2 linked regions of the Tamandua tetradactyla genome follow. The protein of the gene in region 2 binds, or shares a complex with, the protein of the main gene of each other region. Links are inferred from orthologs where the notes say so. Each region holds a gene or a part of one and is shown on either strand. Other genes may lie near its edges.

Region 1 (12,081 bases), on a different chromosome or scaffold from region 2:
CCTTAGGTGGGAGGAAACGTTGTGCCCACTTCTTACTTGCATTGATTCAATATTCTCGGCATCCCTTTTATACAAGAAGCTTATGATGCTCCCGAGGCTGGTTTCTATTGTGTCTCCCCCACTCCTCTGACTGAAGACTATAAATCGGAACGGAGACATCACCGAGCCTCCCCCGAGCTTCAGAACACTGTTATCGTAGGTGGGGAAGTCTAGTTATGGCCTGGGGCTCCAACCCGGGTTCACGTGGGTGCAAGGGAGCAGGGCACACTCTCACACAGCTCCGTGCACAGAGAGAAGGGGGACCAGCAGGGAAATGGGGCGCTGCCAAGCTGCTTCTCTCCCGCCCTAAGGAGGCAGAGCCAGGAAGGAGCAGCACTTCGTGCAGCCCAAGGGCAGAAGACGACCCTTCTGGGATTCACTTGGGCTTTCAGACAGACAGGTACTCCTGACAACTGGGAAAGCCCCTACTCTCATTCCGCCGGCATTGGAAGTGACCTCAGATGCTGATCTACATGATGATGCTTCTAAGACTCTTTGGAGCAGTGAAAAAACTGGATTAGGCAACTTTTGGGCTCAAGCTCTCCAGCAGGCTATGCCTGAAAGGGACCTTAGATGTCTCCTCCATTACACCAGCTCTTGGCCCAGCTTCCCCCAAACTTTGCCATGTCCAAAGCCGGACTCTATGTGCTCACTCGAGTTAGCAGCTTTTAGGAGCTTGATGGGTAAGGTAGAGGGTGAGGGGGCGGAATTGGAGAGCAAATAGACTCTGGATTGTAAATTTGGGTGTTGAAACTTTACCTGTTTCACCTTGGGAAGACCACTCTGAGCCTCAGTTTCCCCCTCTGTAGAATGAGAACACAAGCTACTGACTGGGTTCTTGTAAAGTAGTATAATACAGCAACTGAGAAAGTAGATTTTAGGGGCACATGGCTGGGTACACATCCCAGCAGCTCTACTCATTTACTGTGTGACCCCGGTCAAGTTGCTCAACAGCTCTGTCCCTCCATTTCTATATCTGTAAAATGGGATGATGAGAATAGCATGGACATCACGGAGGGTTTTGTGAGGATTAAATGAGTTAATGTACATAAATTAGTGCATTGCCTTCTAGTTTCTGATTTGAAATCAGCGTTAATGTTATTGAGAACCTCGTCTATGCTTCTCTCTTGCTCTTTTTCTTTCAGCAGTTTGATTGTGATGTGTCTAGATGTGGCCATTTTTTAGTTCATCTTACTTGGAGTTCATTGAGCTGCTTGGAATGTGCGATTAATGTTTTTCACAAGTGTGAGAGTTTTCAGTCATTATTTATTCAAATATCCTCTCTGTCCCCCTTCTCTCTCTCTCCTCTCCTCCTGGGACTCCCACTATCTGTATGTTGACGTACGTGATGACGTCCCACAGGTCTTTGAAGCTCTGCTCATTTTTCTTCATGTTTTTTTTTCCTTTCTAGTCCTCAGACCAGATGGTCTCAGTTGACCCATCTTCAGGTTTACTGAATCTTTCTTCTGCCTGCTCAGATTTTCTGTTGAGCCCCTTCTAGTGAATGTTTCATTTCAGTTATTATACTTTTAAACTCTAGAATTTCTATTTGGCCCTTTTAAAAAATAATTTCTCTTTCTTAATATTCTTTCTTTGGTGAAGCATCATTCTCATACTTTAGTTCTTTAGACAGTTTCCTTTAATTCTATGAATATATTTAAAATAGCTTATTTAAAGTCTTTGTCTCTGATAAGGTCAATGTCTGGGCTTCTATTGTTTGCTTTTCTCCCCTGTGTATGGGTTGTACTTTCTTGTGTGCTTGCCTGCCTCATCATCTTTTGTTGCTAACTAGACATTTTGGATATTATAATGTGACAATTCTGGAAATAAGAATCTCCCCCTTTGTCAGGATTTGTTATCGTTGCTATTTGTTGTTGCTGTTTGTTTAATAACTTTTCAGAATTAATGATGTAAAGCCTGTATTATTTATTGTGTGTGACCATTGAGGTCTTCTCTTGGTTAACTTAGTGGTCAGGTAACCGAAATTAAGGTAAGAGATTTCCCTAAATGTGTGTAACCTATATATCTCCTGGTCTTCATTGAGGTGCTCTGTCTGCATGCTGAGGGCACACCTTCAACATTCAGCCAGGCCATTTACAACTGTCTTAGACTTTACTTCCTGCTTGTGCCAAGCCTCAGCATCAGCTAGAGGTAAGAGCATGGGGCCTTCTCAGGTCTTCCTGAGCGCACACTGGCCTACAAAGGTGCGTGGCTTTCTAGATTCCCAGAAATATGTTGGAGCTTTTCAAATCTCCCTATGGACATCCCATTCTCCAACTTCTCCTTTTAGACTTTTTGGTTAGTCTATTATTTTCTCCAACTACTATCTACTGCCTCAGGCAGCTGGGATGTTAAACAATCGCCTCTGGTTGTTTTTAACAAATGTTCTTTAGAAAAAGACTGTTGACACTGGGTGAACACAGAACCAGGTCAAGTAAAGATAGCTTGCAAGTGGGGTCTCCCAGGGAACCACCTGACAGGTCAAAGAGTGACAGTTCACTGGGTTTGGGTTTGGCAGGCATTCCAACCACCTCTGCTCCCTGCAGTGGCTGCCGGGCTGCTGGTTTTCACCGAGATTGCAGAATATTCATTTTCAAGGCTACTGTGGAGCTGGGTTGGGGTGTATGGGATTAGGGCAAGTTAAAACGCCACAAAGCTTCCTGTTTTTATCGATTCAGCCGATTTTCTTGAATGAATGTTCCCCAGATCATTGCAAGACTGGGGTTAATTTCCAGAAATCTGAAAAAGTAGATTCTGACCATTTTTGCCTGTGCTCTCATTGCTATTCTGGAAGAAGGGATTTTTGGAGGCCCTTACTCCGCCATTTTTGTCTGAAGTCACCCAAAGTTAATATATCTTAAACACTTAGAACAATGCTCTACATGCAGCGCTACCTTGGTGTCTGTTGTTAATATAATAGTTGTGCTATTAATGACGAATGAGAGACCACGGGTGAAGCCTTTTCCTTTCCCTGGAAAAGAATGTCCCAGGGAGCATGGGAAGGGTGGATCGGAGAGGAAAAAGATGTCTCCTTGCAGCGTGGCAGAAACATACTTTAGAAGTTTCTTGGGCAGAAGGTGGCACTTGGTGTCACTAGCATGGGAGGCTGGATTCACAGCTGGACTAGGGCAAGAAGGCGTCAGGGTGGGCCCTGCTCGGGCACCAGGCTGCGCCACGCCCACTGCTCCCCCATGGAAAGACTGGTCCCCAACCGCTAAGCCATCCCTTCCTGAGTGGACTGTGCTCACACTCCCTCACTCATCTGCCCCACGAACTCGTCAGCCTCTAAAAGGCATGTCTCCAAGGTTGGTGGGCAGAACCATGACAAAGTGTCTCCATGCATGATTCCTGAAGAAGCTGCCCTGTCCTGCCCTGCCCTGCCCTGCCCAGCCGTGCCCGGGTGAGTTGTCTGGATGACATCTGTTTACAGGGTGTGCTCAGCAGTGGCGAGGGGCACAGGCTTCAGTGTTATATGATACCCTTCAAACACATGCCCTTGCCTGTTAAGGCCTTCAGCCCCAAGTCTCTGTTTTTCCAAGACAGCTGAGTATTTATGAATCTTCCAGGCATCTAGTGGGGGTGAGCAAGGCAGGGGTTTCTTGGAGCAAGCAGGAGGGAAAGGGAGAGAAAGGAGAGCAGCTAGAAGGGATTTGGGCTTCTGTGCCCATGCCTTGCATAGACTGCAAAATATTTGGAGACTCAGCACTGACTTCCTTAAAAGGCAAGTTTCAAGGAACATCCAGTCTGATAAGACAGGAAGTAATTCTGAAAATCAGGCGGGATGCCCCACACCCTTGTCCACTGTCACACTGGCAGGATGTTTGTGGGGATGGGAAGGGACTTGGGTTGCTGACCCATATTTTACAGAGAAGGAGGAGGCCAAGAGAGGCCTTTGCCTCACCCCAGCCTGTATTCATTCAGGGGTCTATGAACACTGTGTGGCCAGACAGGTCTCTGGTTCTCTTCTAACATATGGCGCATTTCCTGTGAATACAGAGGGTTCCCCATTTGCAGAATCAAGACCAGTCACTCTAATACCTTACATTCTTGCCTGAACGTGTGGTTCAGTCACTCGTTGGGAACTGAAATTACGGCCCAGAGCTAAGGGAGGCTGTAGGGAAGGACTGAAGTTCTGAGAAAAGGGCAGGTGGCTCATCTATATATCCAGGGACGGCTTCAGGGGCACGTGACACAGGTGGTTCCTGCAGGCCACGCTCAGAAGGGTCTCACGCTTCATTTAATGCTCTCCTGGCGCCATCTTGAAATTTTTAATCACTTTGGGACCAGGAACCCTGCATTTTCATTTTGCATGGGGCCCAGACATCCCACAGCCATTCCTGTGTCCAGCCCTGCCTGGAGGCCGGGAGGGAACCTGCCAGCCCCATAGGCCCCTTCAAGCCTGAGGACACAGAGCCACCCAGCCTGTCTCTGTAGGGAGAGAGGGGGGCCCAGCAGGGTGACCGCTGCTGGGACCAGAAGTCCCCCACCTGTAAGACCCACAGTTTCCTTGTTGAGCCATCTGCCCTGTCTGTCCAGCCCTATTTTCTGGGTGAAAAGCCCCACACCTCAGCAAGACAGAAATAGCTGGAGACAAATGCCCTTATTTCCCAACCCAGTTCTGGCTGTCAGCACGGACAGACATAACTCAGATCCTCTTTCCTGGGCTAGAAGGGTTGGATGTCTGCTCTGTCCCGAGGCTGAGAGACCTGGCTCTTTTTGATTTTTCCAGGGGGACAAGGGGAGGGCAGGAGGGGACAGCGCAGACAGGGCGGGTACGTTACCCCCGGGCAGGCTGATGGGGCCGCAGCTCTCGTCCTCGCTGCTGCGCGCGGCGATCCGCTTGGTGCAGATTCTCCAGAGGCCGAAGTGGGCGGCCTCGCAGGCGGCGTCGTGCTGCTCCACCCGGGGACTCAGCACGGCCCAGTGGTCCGTCACCACAGCCACCAGGGCCAGCACGACGCCCACCAGGATGAGGGAGAGGGTCACGCGGACCTTGAGCGCTTTGGTCTGGGACATGGTGGCCGTGGAGGGATGGGGTGCTCCGGGCACGACTGGGGCGGCCGCGGCTGCCCGGCCCGAGCTAAGTTTAGTGTCCCCGCTGAGCCAGAGGGGGCCGGCCTTGGGGCTGCGGGGGCTGGGGCACGGCCGGGCAGCTGCTCTGCCCCGTCAGGGGCCTGAGGGACGGGTCTGGTAATGCCCAGCTCCAGGCGCGCGCAGGGCGCTGTCGGCTCAGGTTGCAGGGCGAGGACCTGATTTGGGGAGGGGGCTGGTGAGCGGGGCTCTGCCTGCTCGGGGCTGGGGGAGAAAGGGACCTGGCTGGGCCGGGGCTGCCTAGCCCCCCCCCTCAGCCCAGGTCCTCGCCCTGCGGGCCTAGGGGACATCCTGGGTACCCCCCGCCCAGGGCCCCCTCTCCCAGGCCAGGCCGTTAGCCCCAAGCCCACTGTGGCTCCCGGGTCAAGGGACGGTTCCAGGCGCCCCCAGGGCAGGGCATCACCCAGCACAGACCCCAGGCTGAGGATGGTATTTCCTCTCCATTTCCCTTCCCATTCCTTCTGGGGCCCCAGAATAACAATTCAGTTTGGGGGCTGTAGGTCTTGAACAACCTTTTGACATTGGCAAAGCGTCCTTTGAAACAGAGAGTGGCCCCCCCAAAAACTAAGAATTCAGATGAACTTGTCTGTCCATCTGCTTTCGTTGTACTTTTTCAGTTGTACTTGCCATTAATGGCAGGTAATGACTTTACAAAATAAATGTGTTTAAATAAACTAAAACACAGAAGTTGGTCCATTTACCAAGACTTCCAGGAGGCTAATGGGGGTGCAGTTACACCAGAGACCACGTCAAAGCTTGGGAGCACCGCAGTGGCGGGGAGGGCAGCTGTCCACAGCCCCCCACCCCACCCTGGCTGGGGCTTGAGGCTCTGGTTTCTCAGCTCAGCAGGTGGCTCTTCTAGGGTGTGTCCAAGGGGCGGAGGTGTGGCCAGAAATAGAGCCCTGAGCTGAGTGGGATCCTGAGCTTCCAAGTCTTGGAGGGGTCTGGTTGTGAGAACACAGAGTGCTGAGAACGGAAATGACACTAACCCTAGCTCCTCTTTGGTGAGTGCTTACTATAAACCTGGCACTCCACCAAACCCTGCACACGTCATCACAGCCGACTGTCACACTTATCCATGAGGTGGGGACAGCTGTAGCTCCCATTTTATAGATGACAATACCGGGCTCAGAGACACAAAGTAACTTATGCAAGGTTGCACAGCTAGTAAGTGGTGAACCCGGAGTCCACGCCCTTAAGCAATGATTGGAGCTGGGAGGAAACTTCAAGCTCTATGAATCTTGAATCTATGAAGTGACTGAAAAGGAAATCTGCAGCCCAGAGAGAGGCTGTGACGAGCCCAGACTATCCGTCAACAAGCTCCAGAGCTGAGCTGAGATCCTGGGCTCTGGCTGCAAGCCTGTGCTCTTTCACCTGCATCTGAATCCCTGTGCTAAAACCAGCCCCGTGGGCACCGCTCTCTCTCCCCATCTGGATTATTTATCGCCCAAGAGCTTCTCTCACAACCTTTCTCAGCTCTGCTTCCCTTCTCTTCCCACCCTCCCCGCCTCTGTGTTTCCAGGGGGAGCTAATCCATCACAGTGAACTCACTCACTTCTTGAAGCCTGTCACCGCCCCTGCTTCAGCGTGGGGAGTGGCTGCCTCCAAGAGAATTCCGAGATCCTGGGGACACAGCCCCGCAGCCCCGGAGCTCGGAGCTTGTTCACGCCGCCCACGTGGGCTGGGCCTCAGAAGAAGCCCAGGCAAAGTCCCGCCGGGAAACAGGGTCCTCGGGGGGTGCTGGAGAGCCTGAGGCAGACGCACCATGTGCCTGCCACTTGCATCAGCAAAGCAGGGCAGGGAAGCAAAAGGATGAGGTTCTGGGGTTTGATGACAGAATATCTAGAAAGAAGCTATTTTAATTTCCACATGCAAGTAACTGACGTGTCATCTGAAAAAATAAAAATGTATTTTAAATTTCTTAGTGAGGTGGATGTGAGCCCCTTAAGCTCCCCAAGGCTGGGAGCCTCTGACGTCTTAGAGGTGTCTTAGGTGGGGCCTGGCGTGGGGGACACTCAGGGTTAGCCACGCGAGACCATCTCGTGAGAGCAGCAAGAGAGCAAATTTCCTCACCTAGGGGCAAGTCTGCGCTGCATGTGAACTTTTTTGTCCTCCAACCGAGTGAGCAAAAGCGTTAAAGATGGGGGGCCTCTTCCTTTGGAATTCATCTTTGCAAATCTCACCAGACAGCTGGCAGCTTCAGAGAGTGTAGGCAGGTCAACTTTCAGCCTCAGTTTCCTAAAAACTCCTGTCTGCTCATAGAACCACAGCCAGGCTGCCTGCTCCCCCAGGGCGTTGCCCGCCAGGAAGGGGCTCATTGGCCACTGCCACTGGCTGGGAGCCGGGGCTGGGGGATGACCCGCCCCTCACCCCTCCCACCCAGGGATCATTCTCTTCCAGCACCTCAGGGTGGAGGGCGTGGGGGGCGGTGAGCAAATGGAAACCCACCCGCCCATCAGTGCCTGCGCCAGCCAGTCCCGGGATGAAGTCCCTGCTCTGCCGTGTTCCAGCCGTGGAGCTTCGAGCGAGTCCTAACCTCTCCAGACGGCCTTATCCTCATCTGTGAAACAAGGGCGCTGGCGCTTGGCGTGGGGGCTGGTGGGTGCATTAGAAATAATGCACTTAGTCCCCGGGAGGCAATCATTCCAGGAAGGCTGGGATGATGGTGTTAGTTATGGCCCACAGAAGGATCACTTTCCCCTAATGGGCTGTGAGCTTCTGGGGGGTATGGAGGATGAGAGGCACAGCACCCGGCTCAGGATGGGCTCTGCATCAGCGTTTGTTGAATGATGGATGGATGGATGGACTGATCAGAAGGACTGATACAGTAAGAAAAAGAAGGAAACAGAGGCACAAATAATTTACTGCCCTATGTTATTGAAAAGACATTTCCACCTGGCTTTAAGATCAGAGGGACAGAAGAGATGGCAGCTGGGGCAGACCTGGGGCCACCTGGGACAAGGGACTAACTTGCTTCGAGATGCTGAGGGCTGTCAGGAGGCCCAGGCGACCTCTGGAATGTCAAGGTCAAAGGGAGCATCATCCGGAGGGCTGACATTGTCTACAGATCGTTTCAAAGTGGACATCTGGGAGTTGTCTGTGTTGTGCGCATCCGAAATGAACCCCTTTCGTTTGCCCTGGGAAGCTTCATCTGGAGGCTTCGGTGGGAGCCGGGGCCAGGCCACGTCAGGCCGACAGCCAAGTAACTGCCCTTCGGTAATGCGCTGATTCGATTTTGAGCTCAGGCTTAAATAGGCTCAAGCATGGCTTTGGGTGTTTGATTTAAAATACCATTTCGAAAAAAGCGAGGGGCCATCCTAATGTGCCTCCACCTTCTGACCTCCGCATTCCACCTCAGATCCCCCGTTGCCCTCTGGCTCTCTGCCCCCACTTCCATCCCCTGGGGGCCCCTGCACAGCGTGTCACCTGTCCCCTCCCCCCGCCCTGCAAGGCTTTCCCAGAGCTGCCCTGGGAGGCCTGCAGGTGTCTGCGGAGCAGCTGGAGAGTAAAAGCATATTTACTAAAGTTCAGCAGTGCAAAGAACGCTACGAGATCAAACACCCACAACGCCTTCGCTGTGGGACATGGGGGTTGCCCAGGCACGTGCATTTTTTAAATTTTAAGACATTTACATTTTATTGAATGGGGATTGGAAGTATCCAAACCGTGCTTTCGTTAATACTATTTCTTCAGGGCAGGGCCAAAATAAGAATAGTCCATTTCAGATGAGTAAAAAAATATGGATTAATAAATAAATAAATAATGAGGGGACAAAGAGTAAAAGAAATAGAGTGGATGGAAACACTAGAGGTCAACGAGAGGGAGGGGTAAGGTGTATGGTATGAGTTTTTTCTTGTTTCTTTTCATTCCTTTTTCTGGGGTGATGCAAATGTTCTAGAAAATGATGGTGATGAATACATGTGATGATATTGTGAGTCATTGATCGTACACCATCTATAGAATGTATATATGTTGAAGATTTCTCAATAATAATATTTTAAAAAGAAAAATAGAATAGTCAATTTAAAGAAAAAAGAAGAAGTAGTAACCATTCAGGCGGTGCCTGGGATGTGTGAGGGCGCCAGGCCAGTGTACGTCAGTGACAGGGGCTTGGGGCATAGGCACAGACGCAGCCCTGAGCCCCAGCTCTGCCGCTGCTGAGCCCTGTGGGAGATGTTTAACCCTGCTGAGCCTCTCTGCCTGCAAAGCAGAGAAGACATAGTGTCTGCTCCGTGGGACGAGAGTGACAATGAAGCACAGTGACGTGAGTGTCCCCGGAAGCATTCGGGGGCTGAGGTGAGTGAGTAGGGCGTCCGCTGCGGTGGGGCCCATGGCCTGGGCAGCCACAGGGACGTCTCGCCAGTGAGTTCACCAGCATGTAAGGGAAAGAGTGGCCCTCCCTGAGCCGGGACAGGGCGAGTTTGACGAGCCCCTGGAAACCCCGTCGCCATCCAGAGTGTGAGTCTCACCCTGAGAATGATTTAAGAGGACTCCGAGTGTTGATGCCTTTCCTGCAGAATGGGTAGCAGTGGAGCCAGAGAAATATTATTTGGTGATTGTGACATGCATTCACACATTCATTCATTCGTCAGCTGCTTGCTGATCATTGAGGGCTATCGACATGGAAGGGACACAGGTCTGCCCCTGAGCAGCCCACGGACTGGCAGAGAGATGGACCTGGACTGTCCGAGAGGGTCCTCTGCGGTGGCAGGGCTGAGAGGGGAAGCGGAGGGCCTGCTGGATGAATTTTAAGAAGGGATCAGGTTCAGACACTGCATTAGATATAGGCTATGTAAGGGGTAACTCAGCAGACCTTCGCTGTCCAAACCCTGTGCCTTCCAAGGAAAGGACTGCACCCTGACCAGCTCCAGGGAGTAACATCTGAGCCCTTGGAATGTCCTGCCTGAGAGTGTCTTCGTACACCTGGGGCCTGCAGCCAAGCCAGATGGTTTGGCATCTTGGGGGAAAGAAACAGGATGGATACTGCGTAGCTAAGGCCGTTCGTGTGCATTCCATAAAAAACACGTTCACCAAGGCTCAGATTGGCAGAAGTCTGCGTGCGTGGTCACCCATCATTGCCGGGAGAATTAAGCACTGTGAGGAGGACTCCACCAGGAGAGGACAATGGGCAGTTCATGCCTGGTCTCTCCAGGCATGAGAAAGTGTTTAAATTAGAATTAAAAGTATAGATTTTACTCTGTTAAGCTCTACGGTAATAAGCCATAACCAGGAGCATGGTAGCTTTTAGGAATCCTATGAGTCCTTCGAGAAAATCATTGAACTTGAGGGTGGTTTTGGGGATCTGTGCCACACCAGGAAAGAGGCAACTGTCCTCGGAGTGGGTGGGTCAGAAGAGCCCTCGCAGGTGAAATGGAGGATGAGTAGGGGTTAGGACAGTGGAAGGAGGACTTAACTGGCAGGGGAAGATGCGGGTGCAAAGACCCAGGGCAGGAAAAGTCCAGACTGTAAATTGCAGATGTGATCAGGTCTGGGTAGAGTGCTAAGGCACATGGAAGGAGTGGATGGGGAGGAGATGAGAGATAAGGTTGGGCAGGGGCCAGACCTGCAGGGCCCAATAAAGCACGTTAAAAAAGAAAATGCCAAAAACTGGGGGTGCCTTTATCCTAGGAACAGTGGGAGCCATTGGAGTTTAAAACTGGACAGTGGTGTGGCCATCTGCTTGGGACAGGAGTAAAGAGGGTGATGGAAGGGGGGGACCTGGAATAAAATGAGGCGAAGAGACAGCTCAAGGCAGGAAAGCATATATTTGAGGAACACATGGGTGGTAGACCCAATGGACTGCGTGAGATGAAATGTGATGGATGAGGGGAGGAAGGAGCCAGGATTTTGGACTTGGCGGCCTGGGTGACCGATGGTGCTGTTGACAGAAGGGAAGTATGCTGGAGGAGAATGGGTGAATTTTAAGAAGGGTTCAGGTTCAAACACCGCATTAGATATAGACTATGTTTTTACAACAAAGAGGCCCCTGAATGCAGCAGCTTAATGAGGTACAAGTGTGTCTCTTTCCCATCACAGGCCAGGTGGTCCGGCTGGTCTCCATCCAGTCAATCATGGACCTGGGCACCTTCCATCTAGTTGTTGCACTGTGCTCTAGGGTGTTCTCATAAGCAAGGCCAAAGGCAGGTCGATGATGTGTCAATGCTCCAGACCACAGGAAGCAGGAAAGAGCAGGAAGAGTGACGGTTCACTCTTATTTCTCTATAAGCAGTAGACTCAGAAGTAGCACAAAGTATTTGAGTTGGCAGGAATTTAAGCTTTTGACCATACATAAGGGCTTTGGAAATTAGCTGGGTGGCAATATCACCAGCTAAAGCTCTCTAAGACCATGGAAGAGGGGAGTGAAGATTTGAGGAGACATGAAGTGGTCTGCCATGGACACGGGATGTGGAAACTGGGAGCAGACCTGGAACTTGGGAGAAAGACTCTGGGTTATCTGGGTGGGCCCAGAGGTCCTTCTAAGGTCAATGGAGGTGAGAAGACCAGAGGACTGTGAGGCCAGGGAGTCAGAGTGGCTGGCCCACATTGGCGTGCCTTGGTGTGATGGTGGTGGGACCTGGGGTGCAGAGAAAGGGCTTTAAGCTAGAGTCTGAAGCTTTAGGTGGAGGTGAAGGATACCCAGGAAGGAGTTGGGAGATGACAGTTTTGAGAAAGGATTCAGGAGGGTCTATCCAGGCCCTCCTAGGAGAAAGCTTTTTCCCAGTTGTGATGGAAGAAAAGATTTGGAAGTATTGGAGTCTTCCACGACTCCCTGCTCCTGCAGCCGTTAAGTCCAAGGACATGAATTCATAACCTTCTCTGATCACATATTTCTGTTCCCAAGCTTGCACCAGCAATTTTGTTGTAAGCTGCAAGTTTAAAAATATCTGAATCAGGTGTATCTGCCCAGCCCCTCTCTGGATCCTCTTTCTCCCTTTCCAGCACCCAACCATC
Region 2 (12,319 bases):
GCTTATAGGAAGGGATCTAAATGCTAGAAGAAGCTATTATGTAAAGAATTGGCATTCTTTCAATTAAGGAAGGCTCTGAAAAGCCTGAGGTAAAATAAAATTTCACTTTTGAACCTTGTGATGTTGGCTTTATCTCTGGATTTCATATTTGTGTTTTTCATTGTGTTGAATTGTGCTACTGATAGCTCCTTAAGACACACTCAGATAAACACACATAATATAGATAAATAATACTCTTCTTCACCGTGACCATCCAGTTTACATGCTCTCTACCCTTCCATCATTTATGATTAGGAAACTTTTAAGTAGGACCTGAATCTAATGGGTGAAATGTATGGCATCTCTAAACTTATTTAATTTTACAATCTGACATGCTTAGATCAGGAAGAGACTATGTGACTTACATGGTGATATATATATAGCTACTATGTGAGAGAAAAACTAAAGTGAAGTCACTTTTATTTTATCCTGAACCACAAAGACAAGATTCTTGGCTTTACCAAAGAAACGTCTTCGTAGTAGTGCTGTTTGGCTTCAGACATTGCATTTGTGACTTGGAGATAGACTGTCTTTTATATATATATATATTTTAAGAACCCACTTGGCATGGTAAAAGTATAAATCCTGGCAGAGAAAAATTGGATTCCAAAATATTTTCTTAAATGCTTAATGAATAAAGCGTCTTTTAGTTTCCTTACCCTAACAGTGCTGTGCATATAGAAAGTGTTTATTATGGTTGTGCTCATGTGTATTCCTTTAGAGTCTGTGTTTAGTATTACTGATATCTGTCCAAAAATCATTTAGAAAATACTTTTAAATAATCAATTTCTGGAATCTAGGTTAATTCTTAACTCACAAAAGGAAAAATTATCATTTTTTCCTTGTACGTAGAGGTTTTAGAGAAAGAAAACAATTTGACTAAGAATGGGCTTAGAATCATCCTACATGTGACCTTAGAGCTCTTATTTAATGGAAGAATCAAAACATAATTTAACTGTTTATAACATAAACAGCTTTTGGAAAAGTGGCATCATCTATATCAATGCTTATAGATTAAGGTCAAATGAAAAAAGTACAGAACCATTGGCTCACTTTTCACCATCCTACGATGGAAGTAGCACTAAGCTTCTTTGGCTATAGCATTGCTATGCAAAATCTTAGAAAGTTTTCAGTGATTATGTGATTATATTTGAGCTGTTTTCAACAAAGTTATCCTTATAATTATTAAACACTTGTTAAATAATCTGGTTCAAAATGAGGAAGTTATTCTTTGGAATAGACTATAGAGATACTCTCTGTTTTATATTTAGCTTAAACATATGTCTCAGAAACTACAATTATATGAGACTGAACTTTAAGATTCACTTAAGATAATAGGTTTGTAGTAAGTGCTTCTGGACTAATTGATATTGTATTTAAATCTTATAGTTTTAAGATAATTTAGATATAAGTATATGTAAACTTCAGATTACTATTATCAGGCATGATTGGACTATGAATATCTTATTTTTTCTGCTAGATGAAAGTACCATTACTTATACCGTACCCTGCGTTTTTCCATAATGAAGAGATATGCATGTGACTTTGCACAATGATTGTGTTCTCTGATTCTTAGTTGCCAGTGACTGACAGGTAGTCAATCAAGAAGAATGGTATATGGTGGAATTGTTGTAATAATAAAGACACATAATTGAGTACGTTAGTGCCTACACAGTGCTGGATCAATAGAATTATGCATTCTCAGGAAACTCATATCCTAATGACAGAATCCCATCAGCATTATTTATGCCTAAGAATAAAAATGATGGAAGCAGAATAAACTCTGAGTCGAGTTAGAAGGAGAATAAAAAGATAAAAAGGGGCAATGTGAGAAAAATCCCCATGCGGTAATTCCTGGTAGGTGTCATCAATTGATACAGAGGATCCAGCCAATCTGGCCAGAATAGTGATGACTATTGATATTAGCACTTATAAGAATCATAAGATCTTGAAGTCTTATATTTCAGTTTAATCCAGCAATTATTTGTTGAGTGTCTACCACATGCTCATTGCTTTGCTGGGTATATTAACAAAAGCTCTACCTTCCAGGAGCTTATAATCCAGTGGAGAAAACAGTTGTGTCTTTAATAGAAAGGTGTACCAAAACTTTGGGAGCAAAGGAAAAGTTGGGACTATTTATCCCTAGGAGAGTGAGAAAGACTCAATCTTCAAGGATGAGCTGTATATGATTCAGGGGAAAACATTTTGGGGAATCCCTGTGTTTTAGTTTGTCAAGCTGTTGAAAACAGAACCATAAACCACGTTGGCTTTTAACAATTACATTTATTAGCTTACAAGCTTACAGTTTTGAGGTCGTGAAACTGTCCACATCAGGGCATCATCATGGTGATACTTTGTTCCTGCAAACAGGCTACTGGCGATCCTGGACTCCTCTGTCAGATGGCAAGGTGGCTGTCTGCTGTCTCTTCCTTCTCTTCTGGGTTTCATTGCTTTTAGCTTCTTGCTTCTTAACTTTCTCTCTCTTTGTCTGAATGTCATTCTCTTATAAAGGACACTTTTAAGATCTTACTTACCAAAAGATCCTACTTACAATGGGTCCATATCCGCAAGAATGCATTAACTTTAAGAACATACTTTTCTAGGGTATTTACAGCTTCAAAACACCACACCCTTTTTGATATTTGTGGGCTAAGAGAAGTTGAAATTAATCAGCAAAATTATGGATAAAATTAAAGTATAAATTTAAATGGTCAATAAGGCAGAATAAGTTGTTCCTATTTATATTTATTACTGATTATGCCTTTTTTCTATTTCCTAACTTTTTAAAATATGTTTACTTATTCTGTTAGAGCTCTTGGATTAAAGGAATTTCCCCCTGAAATGAATAAATTTAGGAAATTAGTATATAGTAAAGAAGATTCCATCTGACCTTTCATGAACCTGGGGATAGTCGTAGACCACAAGATATTTCTATTTGGGCAGGATAACTACTTTTTTTTTAAGACTAAGAAGGTTCACTGACAACATGCATTTATTATAAATGAAAATTTTTTAAAAGACAAGTCCATGTTTTACTTTGAAGATAATAAGCTGTCATTTGTAGTAGGCACTATTTTAATATAATGCTTTACTGGGCAGGTTGTTTTTTTTTAAGGCATTGGCTTTCTAAAGTCAATTTAACACAAAAAGTTAATTTATTTAGAAATCAAAGGGTTATTTTACTTCACAGTATCTGTTTAGGTTTTCTACTGTTTCCCCCAGTTATCATGAGCATGAGTTGTCCATAAAACAAACTGCTTCTCCTCTACTGTGATCCTTCCGATATTTCAAGGTCACAGGATCACTGATTTGTGAGGTGCTGTAAAACTATGTCATATGAAAAGAACCAGACCCAGGGGGCAAAGATAACAGTGCTATGTAGACTCTCCGTGGCCTGTGAAGATTTGGTTTACAAGGTTGTTGTCCGTGTTTGGTCAGTAAAACTAAGGCAGAAAGTGGTTGAAAGAACATTACTTTAAAGGCATTAAAGAAGATGCCAAAGGAAATAATTTTTAGTGCAAAGTGTTCCAAATGGGGTAGAAGTACAGAATCAGCAGAGGCAGCCAAACATAGCCTTTTGTCTCCCATCTGTGGATGCTAGTACATAAGCAGCATAATTATGCTCTAGCACTTACTGCCAATACCAGAAATTCCCAATCCCTTTATTTCCTTCCTCCCTCTTTTTTTTTCCTCACCCTTCCTTGCTTTCTCCCTCCCTCCCTTTCATCCTTCCTTTTCACCTTTTGAGATCCACATGAACCTTGATTTTAAAAAGACTAGCTCCCAAACCCTTATAACCAAGCCTAGCAAATTTAAGAAAAATTATTTTGAATACTCTATTTCATTTGTAAACCTAGGAGAGGGGCATATTTTAGACAGAACAGATTGATCAAAGAAAAATGACTTTGGTTACATCATTAGCCTTGTTAGACCACAGATTCCTCATTAGTGAAATTAGGTTATTCAGCTGTGCAATTCTTAGCTAGCTTCCAGCTCTAAAATTTCATGGTTCTTCCTTTCTACGTTTCTGAGTGCTTTGTGATCTCTTAGGGTGGTGGTAGTGTATCAATGTCAATAGCTGTTTGTGCATGCTGACTACCAAATGCTAGTAATAAGTCATCATCAACGTGGTCAAATTTATAATGACTCACACTAGATAGATGGTACAATAAATCAAGTAATATTGTATTTGAATGCAGTCCCCCAAGCAAGGGTTTACACCAAGTACATGATTAGATATTCTTGGTCCTCCCATTGAGTTTATTATTCCAGTCATTTCTGAGAGCCATCATAAAAAGAATGGGATTTGATGTTCCTTTTTAAAAAAAATTTTGGTTTATCCTTAAATGCCTGGAGAGATTTGAGTAAATTACACTGCCATCTTTCTATGGCTTTCCCAGCAAAAAAGAGAATTTGAGCACGTTCCTTGCTCCATACTGACTAAGAAAAACAAAGTTTCCTCTCCTTTTGAGAGGAATTATTGTTCTTTAAAAAAAGGAAAGCAAGAAGGAGAGCATTGCCAAATTAGATATCCTACCTATTTAAGCTTTACATACATAATTATTTATTATCCACTTACTAACCATGTAGAAGTATGCTTTATTCTTTAAAGTTGCACAAATATTAGCGTGAATCCTTGCTAAATTATTTCAAGCTTCAGAGATTTGGAATTGAAAGATATTTTGCGTAAATGATAAAGCAAATGGTAACTGTCTTAAAAGAAGAGACTGAATGGAAATATTTATCAGAAACATAAACTAGACACAGTAAATCTCCCAAAGAACCTCCAAAATAAACTAATGCACCATGCTAATAAGAATCAAAGTGTTTCAAATGAAAATGTACATGTAAGTGATGATGGATATTGCCTCTAATAACCCCTTAACAGGCCTATTAATGTTAAATCAGCTTTAGCTTTTTCAACTGAAAGATATTGCAAAAGAAATTATTGTTATTGGATACAGTCATCTTGCTCTCTGTTGTGTGTCCCTATAAAATTCAGGCATGAAATCTAAAACTGAAAATTTGATCTCCTTCATCTTTCTCTCAGAATTAAAAGGAAGGTAGATCAGTGTTTTCATAGACATGTAAAAGCAATATTGCAATATCTGTTACCTCAAACACAGCTTTTTTTTACTATCAAAAATTTCCAAATCCTGCCATAAACCAGAACAGTGCAGAGTATAAGGTAAATGTCACAGCTATGCTGTGGGAAGTCCTGAATTCTGTACAAAGAGAAATGCAAGAGAGTCTTTACTAAGTGGTGGAGCCACACATTCTAGGTATCATTAGAATCCTTTCTATCAATTTCAACATGTTTTTCCTATTCTTTATTCCCCACTTTCGGGTTTCTTACCTCCAGGAGAGATGTAGAAATAGTTGAGTTGAGCTTCGTGCACCAAGGTGCCCTTAAACTTCACCTCTGTTTCAGCAGACAGGTGGCTGGAAAGCGGCTGGTATGGCGGCGTAGAGGGCTGAACAAAGGCTCGAAGCATCATAAATCTCCAGATATGTACTAATAATTAGGTGGATTTTGAACTCGTAGTAAATATCCTTACCCGTGAGGGTTCTCCTCGTAATTTTTTAAAACCTGGAAACCATTCCATAGGAACACAGTGCTGCAAAAGCTATACAGCCGTATCACGTTGTTGCAACTTTAGGTTGCAGTAATTACTTTAAGTTTTAGAGTTCTGAAAACTATACCTTCTTTCTTGCTTCTTTTGCAACCTTGTCTTTTTCTTCTCTGCTATGCTGTCTATGGAGAGGCGGGCCTCTCACCCAGTGACTTTACAGGAAAACTTGGATTGAAATGTGACGTTAATGGTTTCTGTCAGTCTGTCAGCTCATCGCCTCTGTTAGGCATGATGGTCTGGTTTTTATATATCACCACGAGCTGCTTTGATAGACCCTCTTGTGTGGAAGAGTGAGAGTTTTGTCCAGGAGTTGGTAGACCTTGAGCCTAAGAAGCAGAAAATTTCTGCTGGAATGTGTACTTTAATGTAATTTTACTGCCTCTTCTCCTGGAGTGCAGCTCATGTTGCAAAACTATTTTAGGGAGAAAAAAATGAGGCCCAGTCTACATTTTATCTGCATGGTCCTTTCAATAGCCAAGTCTGTTGGTAAATCTACCTGGTTTTTTTTTTTTTTCCTTTTCTTTTCCTGGCTATTTAAATTTTCTGTTCAAACTCAACATTAACTGGGATTTTAAAATGATCTTATTTTAATCTTAAATTCATGTTCTTTAGCGATAAATGGACCTGTCCTAATCTGTCCTACACTGTCTTATAATTACCACTAACCAGTCTTTCCTTCATTTTGCTTTGACATGTGAAAGATGTTTTCATAGCATTTCCCCTTCCTTAATCTGCATTTCAGTTATGTCATGATAATGACAATGTCAGACTGTTTTTCTATTTCTATCAACAGTTTCCTTGGCATCCTCTGCTTATGACAACCTAGTTCCTTATGTCAAATGCCACAAATGTGTAATACAAAAAATTGCACCCAAAATATTTCTGTTAATACATTCTGCTGGTGAGACTCGAATGGCTGGCGAGTTTCCTCTGCTACTACATTCTTGAACCTGTTAGGCTGCCACCCCCTTTTTCCTTTGGCAGTTTGGGAAGACTCCCAGGAAAGAAAATTTTCACTCTTACCAAAAAAGTAAACCAGGCTCCTAGTTTTATACCTAAGATTAAAGCCACCAAAACATACAGATTTACAACACACAGCTAGTGGGTTAGAATACAGGAAGCTGTGTTGGAATTGGCATAAGAGATTAGTGTTGATGGACAAGAGATAGCCTTGAATATAGATCTTCAAGATACACATTTAATGATCTTGAGATGAAAGAATTTCTTTTTTGATAGAAAGGCTCTCATAGCAAGTATACTTCAGAACTCAGATGTTCTTTTTTTTTTTCCTTCTCCAAAGATTACCAGTGTACTGAGGAGAAGTATGTGTATGTATTTCTTTCTAGGAGGATAAAATAATCCTGTTAAAGAAGAATCTGGAGGTGGTGTTTTGTTTTGTTTTTTTCCATCTTCACCCTCCCCACTTTACGTAGTAGTTAGGTAAGATATAAATCCTGGTGTACTGATAGTACAAAAAAGTTAAAAACGTCATTGCCACCTTTTGGCAAGTAATTCAGATAGGTAGGCTTTTAAAGATGCCTGCTTAAAATAGCAGTAAAAACGTCTGTACCTTTGTTATCTGAGTCATTATTGATAAGAAACAGAAATTCCATACCTTGCCATTGATCAGTTAAGTGGAGGAGAAAGCTACACTTAAAATCTTAAAATATCACAGCTGTTTTAATGACTGTCTAGTAGCCATATAATTAAATGTTTCACAAGTTTACATTTTAAAACATTGTTTCCTTAAAAAATTTTTTTTCTGTTTTTCATTGGCCTATCATAATATTGCCACTCTTTTCAATGAAGGTTTTAAAAATGTATATGTAGTTAATGCATTATTTGCATGATTAATGCCACCAGATCCTCAACTAGATATTTATAAATGTATTTTGGTACTGTTTCAGCCATTGCTATGAAATTGATGTAGTAGGCACATAATAAAGTATATAATTTATTTGAAAATTATTAAATGAATCAATAGCAGCTGTATTATAACCACATTTTTCTTTTATTACTAAATGATTAAATCTCAACCATATCAAATCTTTCAACATTTGTAAATTTTCTTTATAGATGTTTTGAAGTTGAGGATTTATTATTAAATTTTATTTTTTCTAGCACTGTATCCTTACTTGCAGTTTACAAAGCTGATTTTCAGTGAACATATTCCTGGGGCGGGGGAGGTTTTCTAGGTATAATTTGTGCATTAATTTTCTGAATATTTAAAGATGAAATATGTTTATGAAATAAGAAAATGGAGGATAGAAAAGCCAGGAAGTTTAGAAATTCTAATTTCCTTTTCAATCTGTATTCATTCATTTATGAAGTATTTGCCAAATGCCTCCTGCATCCACGTGGTATATTTTCAAGGAAAGTGTACTTTATTGGATATGTCTGTATCTGGGTATATGTATAAGACCACTACTGATTTCTCTGTGGGTTTAAAAAATTCCAGTGCTCAGTTTTGAAGACTTTGCTCCAATAATCCATCTCATTTATTTTTAAAAAAATGTGTTTTCATTTAGAATGAAAAAGGGAATTTCTTTCCATTTTTTGGTTTTGAAGATGTTCATAATTTGTTTGATATGTTTTTTGCAGTATCCATTTATGGAATTTGGTTTTATGATAAGGAAGAATGCCAAAGAATTGCAGAGCTTATGAAAAAGTAAGTACTGAAGGTTAAATATTTTTCAGGGCTCAGTTCTTTTGTTTGAGTTTCTAAGTGAATGTAATTACACTATAATATATTATATCTCTTATAGCAGATACGATATGTACAATATATCTCATAGCAATCCTTTTCATAGAAGTAAGGTAAAAAATAATATTATTTAATAAATGAAAAATAGACATATAACTTACTTTATTTTCAGTAGGTAAGACTCATCATCTAGAATGACTCAACTCATATTTTCTGTCAGTATGAAATATATGTAACATGAGTTCTTCTACATGGCAGTTTTTCTTAATGTTTTCCTCATTTGTCAATTAGCAAGTTTTTGCTTTGAAAAATAAGGTATCAATATGTATATGAGTAAAAAGAACATCCAGAGAGCCATTCTAAAAGGCTGCTTTGCAGTCTAAAATTGTTCCTTTCCTTCCTGCCCTAAATGCTTTCCTTTAACGGTTTATCTATATTTATAGAAGTTCAGAATTTCCCCACCTCTCAAACACTGTGACTTCTTAGGATAGCCATTATTTTCAATCTCTTTGGAAATTTCAGAGTCAGTATAAGTTTAGTGATCAGTAGATGGTCTTTCTCTGTTGTTATTAGTCTGTTTTTCTTTTACTATCCATGTTTTGTCCCATTCTGCACTTTGGGAATTCCTGTTTTGACTTTCCCACTCTTGATTTCCCTGATTGCATTGAGAGGAGGGCCCAGGAAAGCACAGATAGACCCACAGGGTTGCTCACGGTGAGGCAGTTATTTCTCTGCTGTTTATGGGAATATGCATGAGGCTCAGAATAAAATTCCTTTCCTACGCGTGCTGCCTGTCAGCCTGCTACGGTACTAGCCACAGTCAGAGTATGGCTGCTGCCCACACCAGTGTGACACTGTCACAGGGCAGCTCCTTCCGCAGTTGAAATCCTGAGGTGATGAAATGCCGAACAAATGACCCCAAGAAAATAAAAAATGGGGCGAGCACATTTTTAATAAATAAGCATCAATTCCTGAAAATCCGGCTTATGGTAGCTAATTTTAGCTAACTAGTTCAAGTTGCAGATAGTGATTAAGTGCGTTCAAACCAGTATTTACCACCATAACAACTAGTTTCTAGAGCATCCATGTTATTGTAAACTGTGCATCGGATTATACTAGCAGATTTTGTATAGATTAAAAAATACTATGTAGCTCAGCCAAGAGGCCATATTAAAATTGTCAGCATTCTGCAGTAATTACTTAACAGCTGGGACAGGAAATTGATTGTTCACTAGCAATGAGCAGCTTATTTGTGTGAATTCAGTCCTCTTCCCCAGATAGAATTGAATCTCTCAGTAAATCCTCAGGTCTATTTTCACCATAAACTTTATGGCAATAATAAAAGAATTGAGTTGAAAGTCAAAGCACACAAAAGGAAAAAGTATTTTTCTCAACATCACTCAAGCAGCATATAGGAGCAATCTTCAGTTTTGTTTTCAGAGCAACAAAAGACACTTCTCATTGCTCTGTTTTGTATTTTTTTGTATTTAATGCTCCGTCTTCTCAGAATTAGAATAGAATCTTCACTGCATTTCTAAACTACCAGAGTACTACAGAATTTGAGTTGCCGTACTCAACCTTGTGCTCTGAAATGAGGGAAAAAGAAAAATCTCAATTTGCAATGTTGTTTCCTCAAGGTTTGTGAACTCCAAATTGGGTTTCCTCAGTAATGAATGAGTCCTTTCAAATGTTACAGAGTCAACAAACTTTTTCTGTAAAGAGCCAGATAGTAAATATTTTAGGCTTTGTGGGCCATACATTCTCAGTCACAACTATCCAACTCTGCCATGGTAGTGCGGAACTCGCCATAGGCAATAACAGATGAGCATGGCGATGCTCCTGCAGAATTTCCATAGGTGGATGAGCAGTAGATTGGACTCGGCCAGTTTGCCAACCCCTCTTCTAGACTCATATTTGTAATCAGTGTACTCAGGACCTCAAGTTTTGTTTCTCTTCTTTCATTTCCTAAGCAGTCTTATTTCTAATATGACTGTAACAGTATGAAAACAACTGGGTGAGAATTGGGATGGTTTTAAAAAGCATTTATGTTGAGTTGTTTTTGTTATATGGATTGTCCCTCTCTACTTTTTCTAGCCTAACTCAATATGAGCAATTGAAAGCCCACCAGGGAGCTGGAGCACGAGTCTCCCCAGTGATCCTCAATTCAGGAGAGGGGAAGGAAGTAGATATCTTACGGATGCTCACCAAGGCCAAAGATGAATACACAAAGGTAAGTTGTTACCCCCTCCTTGTGTTACAGTGGAGAAAGACTGAGTACTGTTTCCTCCACCAAACAAAATCATACGAAAAATAAAATCTTTACTTGCTTTTAGGAAGTCAAAGGAGGCTACTGTTTTGCTTTTGATTGGATTAAAAAGTAGCCTGAGAAATCAGTAGCCTTCATAAATGCAAATGATATCCAGTAGATTTCCTAGATGATCTCATTTACAGTAGCAACAAATTAATAGAAAATTCCTTTGATAAGATGAACAAGAAATGGGCAAACCCTGTGTGAGGTAAACTTTTAAACACTCCTGGAAGGCATAAACATAGACCTTGAACAAATGGGAATATATACCTGGTCCTTAGATAAGAATGCATAAAGCTGTCAGTTCTCTTTAAATTAATCTGTGAATTTAAGATGATCCCTAAACAAATACTAACGGTTTTCCTTTCATTTTTTTTTCTTTTGTCCCGGAGCCAGGTAAGTTGATTATAACGGTCAGATGGAGAAATTTAAAATAAGTTAGACTAGGCAGGAAAACCCTGCCAAAAAAAAAGAGCAATATCGGGATAAGCTCCACCTGATATTAAAACACTGAATTCTAGATATTCAAAACAGTGTGGTACTGACACATGAACAGCCAGGATGACAAATTGGGCAGACGAAAAAGTCCTAGAATTAGACTCAAGTGTATATGAACTTTAGGACCATGATAAAGATGACAATCTCAAATCAGCGACTGAATGGATTTTTAAAGAAATGGTGTTGGGACAACTGTAGCCATTTGGAGAAATACAAAATTGGATTCTTTCCTCATACCGTATACCAGGATGGATTCCAAATGTGTTAAAAATTTGAATTGTAAAAATAGAACCATTCAAGTACCAGAAGAAAACTTGTATGGATCGCTTTATAATTGGGGAAGTGGAAATGTTCCTAACTATGCTTCAGAATCCAAGAGCAATAAATTCACCTACATAAAAATAAAAAAATAAACATTTTGCATGTTTTTTTAAAAACCTCAAGTAAGAAATTATAAAAAACTGAGGAAAAAATTTTCACCCTAAATAACAGGAAGAGGTTTGAGTTCTCTATTTTATAAAGAGCTCTAAAAATTGAAAAGTAAAAGACTAATACCCTCTAGAAAAATGGCCAAAAGTAAATTAAGAAAAAAGAAAATAAAGTCCTAACACTTGGAAACTTAGCTGAAGCAAATGTACTTAACCAAAGTTCATATTATGACATAGTCACTTAGAAAAAAAATTAGTGTGAGTGACTTCAGAAACCCAGTATTTGAAACCTAGTATTAGTAGATATACTTTAAAGACAAAAAGAACTGCGAAGAAATTATAAACTTCATTCAGTGTTTTTTTTTGTTGGTAGTAATATTGGCACAGTGATTTTGTAACTGTTGTATAATATTACAATTGAGTAATTACGTTATTGTTGTCTGAACCAAAACCTTCAGCATAAGAGAAGAAATAAAAAATTCAAGAAATTAAGTTAAAACTGTGTAATGTTAAATTTTAAGTGGAAAAATACAGAATTATTATTATTCATGTTTTGTTTCTTAAATATGTAGTTTCCAGCTCTTTCTCCTAAAAGATCAAAAAAAAAATGACAACCCAGGAACAATAAGCACCCTGGTCACCTAGACTGTTGTTTCTAAATACTATTTCCTAAAAAAAAGGTATCAGGGCTCCATAAAGAAATTACTGA

Evidence for each region.
Region 1: CACNA1C (region 2) and CACNG1 share a complex: the UniProt entries of both Homo sapiens proteins name them as parts of the calcium channel complex. The link is inferred for Tamandua tetradactyla from reciprocal best matches to the Homo sapiens genes CACNA1C and CACNG1.

The regions. Positions count from the first base shown.
Region 1 is NC_135332.1:7,076,398-7,088,478, forward strand, and holds the start of CACNG1 (voltage-dependent calcium channel gamma-1 subunit), read right to left. Parts: upstream 5,110-12,081; 5' UTR 5,056-5,109; coding exon 4,821-5,055; intron 1-4,820. UniProt on the Homo sapiens protein: Regulatory subunit of the voltage-gated calcium channel that gives rise to L-type calcium currents in skeletal muscle. Regulates channel inactivation kinetics.
Region 2 is NC_135333.1:62,235,403-62,247,721, forward strand, and holds the start of CACNA1C (voltage-dependent L-type calcium channel subunit alpha-1C), read right to left. Parts: upstream 5,836-12,319; 5' UTR 5,538-5,835; coding exon 5,396-5,537; intron 1-5,395. Other genes in the region: DCP1B (mRNA-decapping enzyme 1B), read left to right, coding at 8,274-8,340, 10,471-10,606. UniProt on the Homo sapiens protein: Pore-forming, alpha-1C subunit of the voltage-gated calcium channel that gives rise to L-type calcium currents. Mediates influx of calcium ions into the cytoplasm, and thereby triggers calcium release from the sarcoplasm.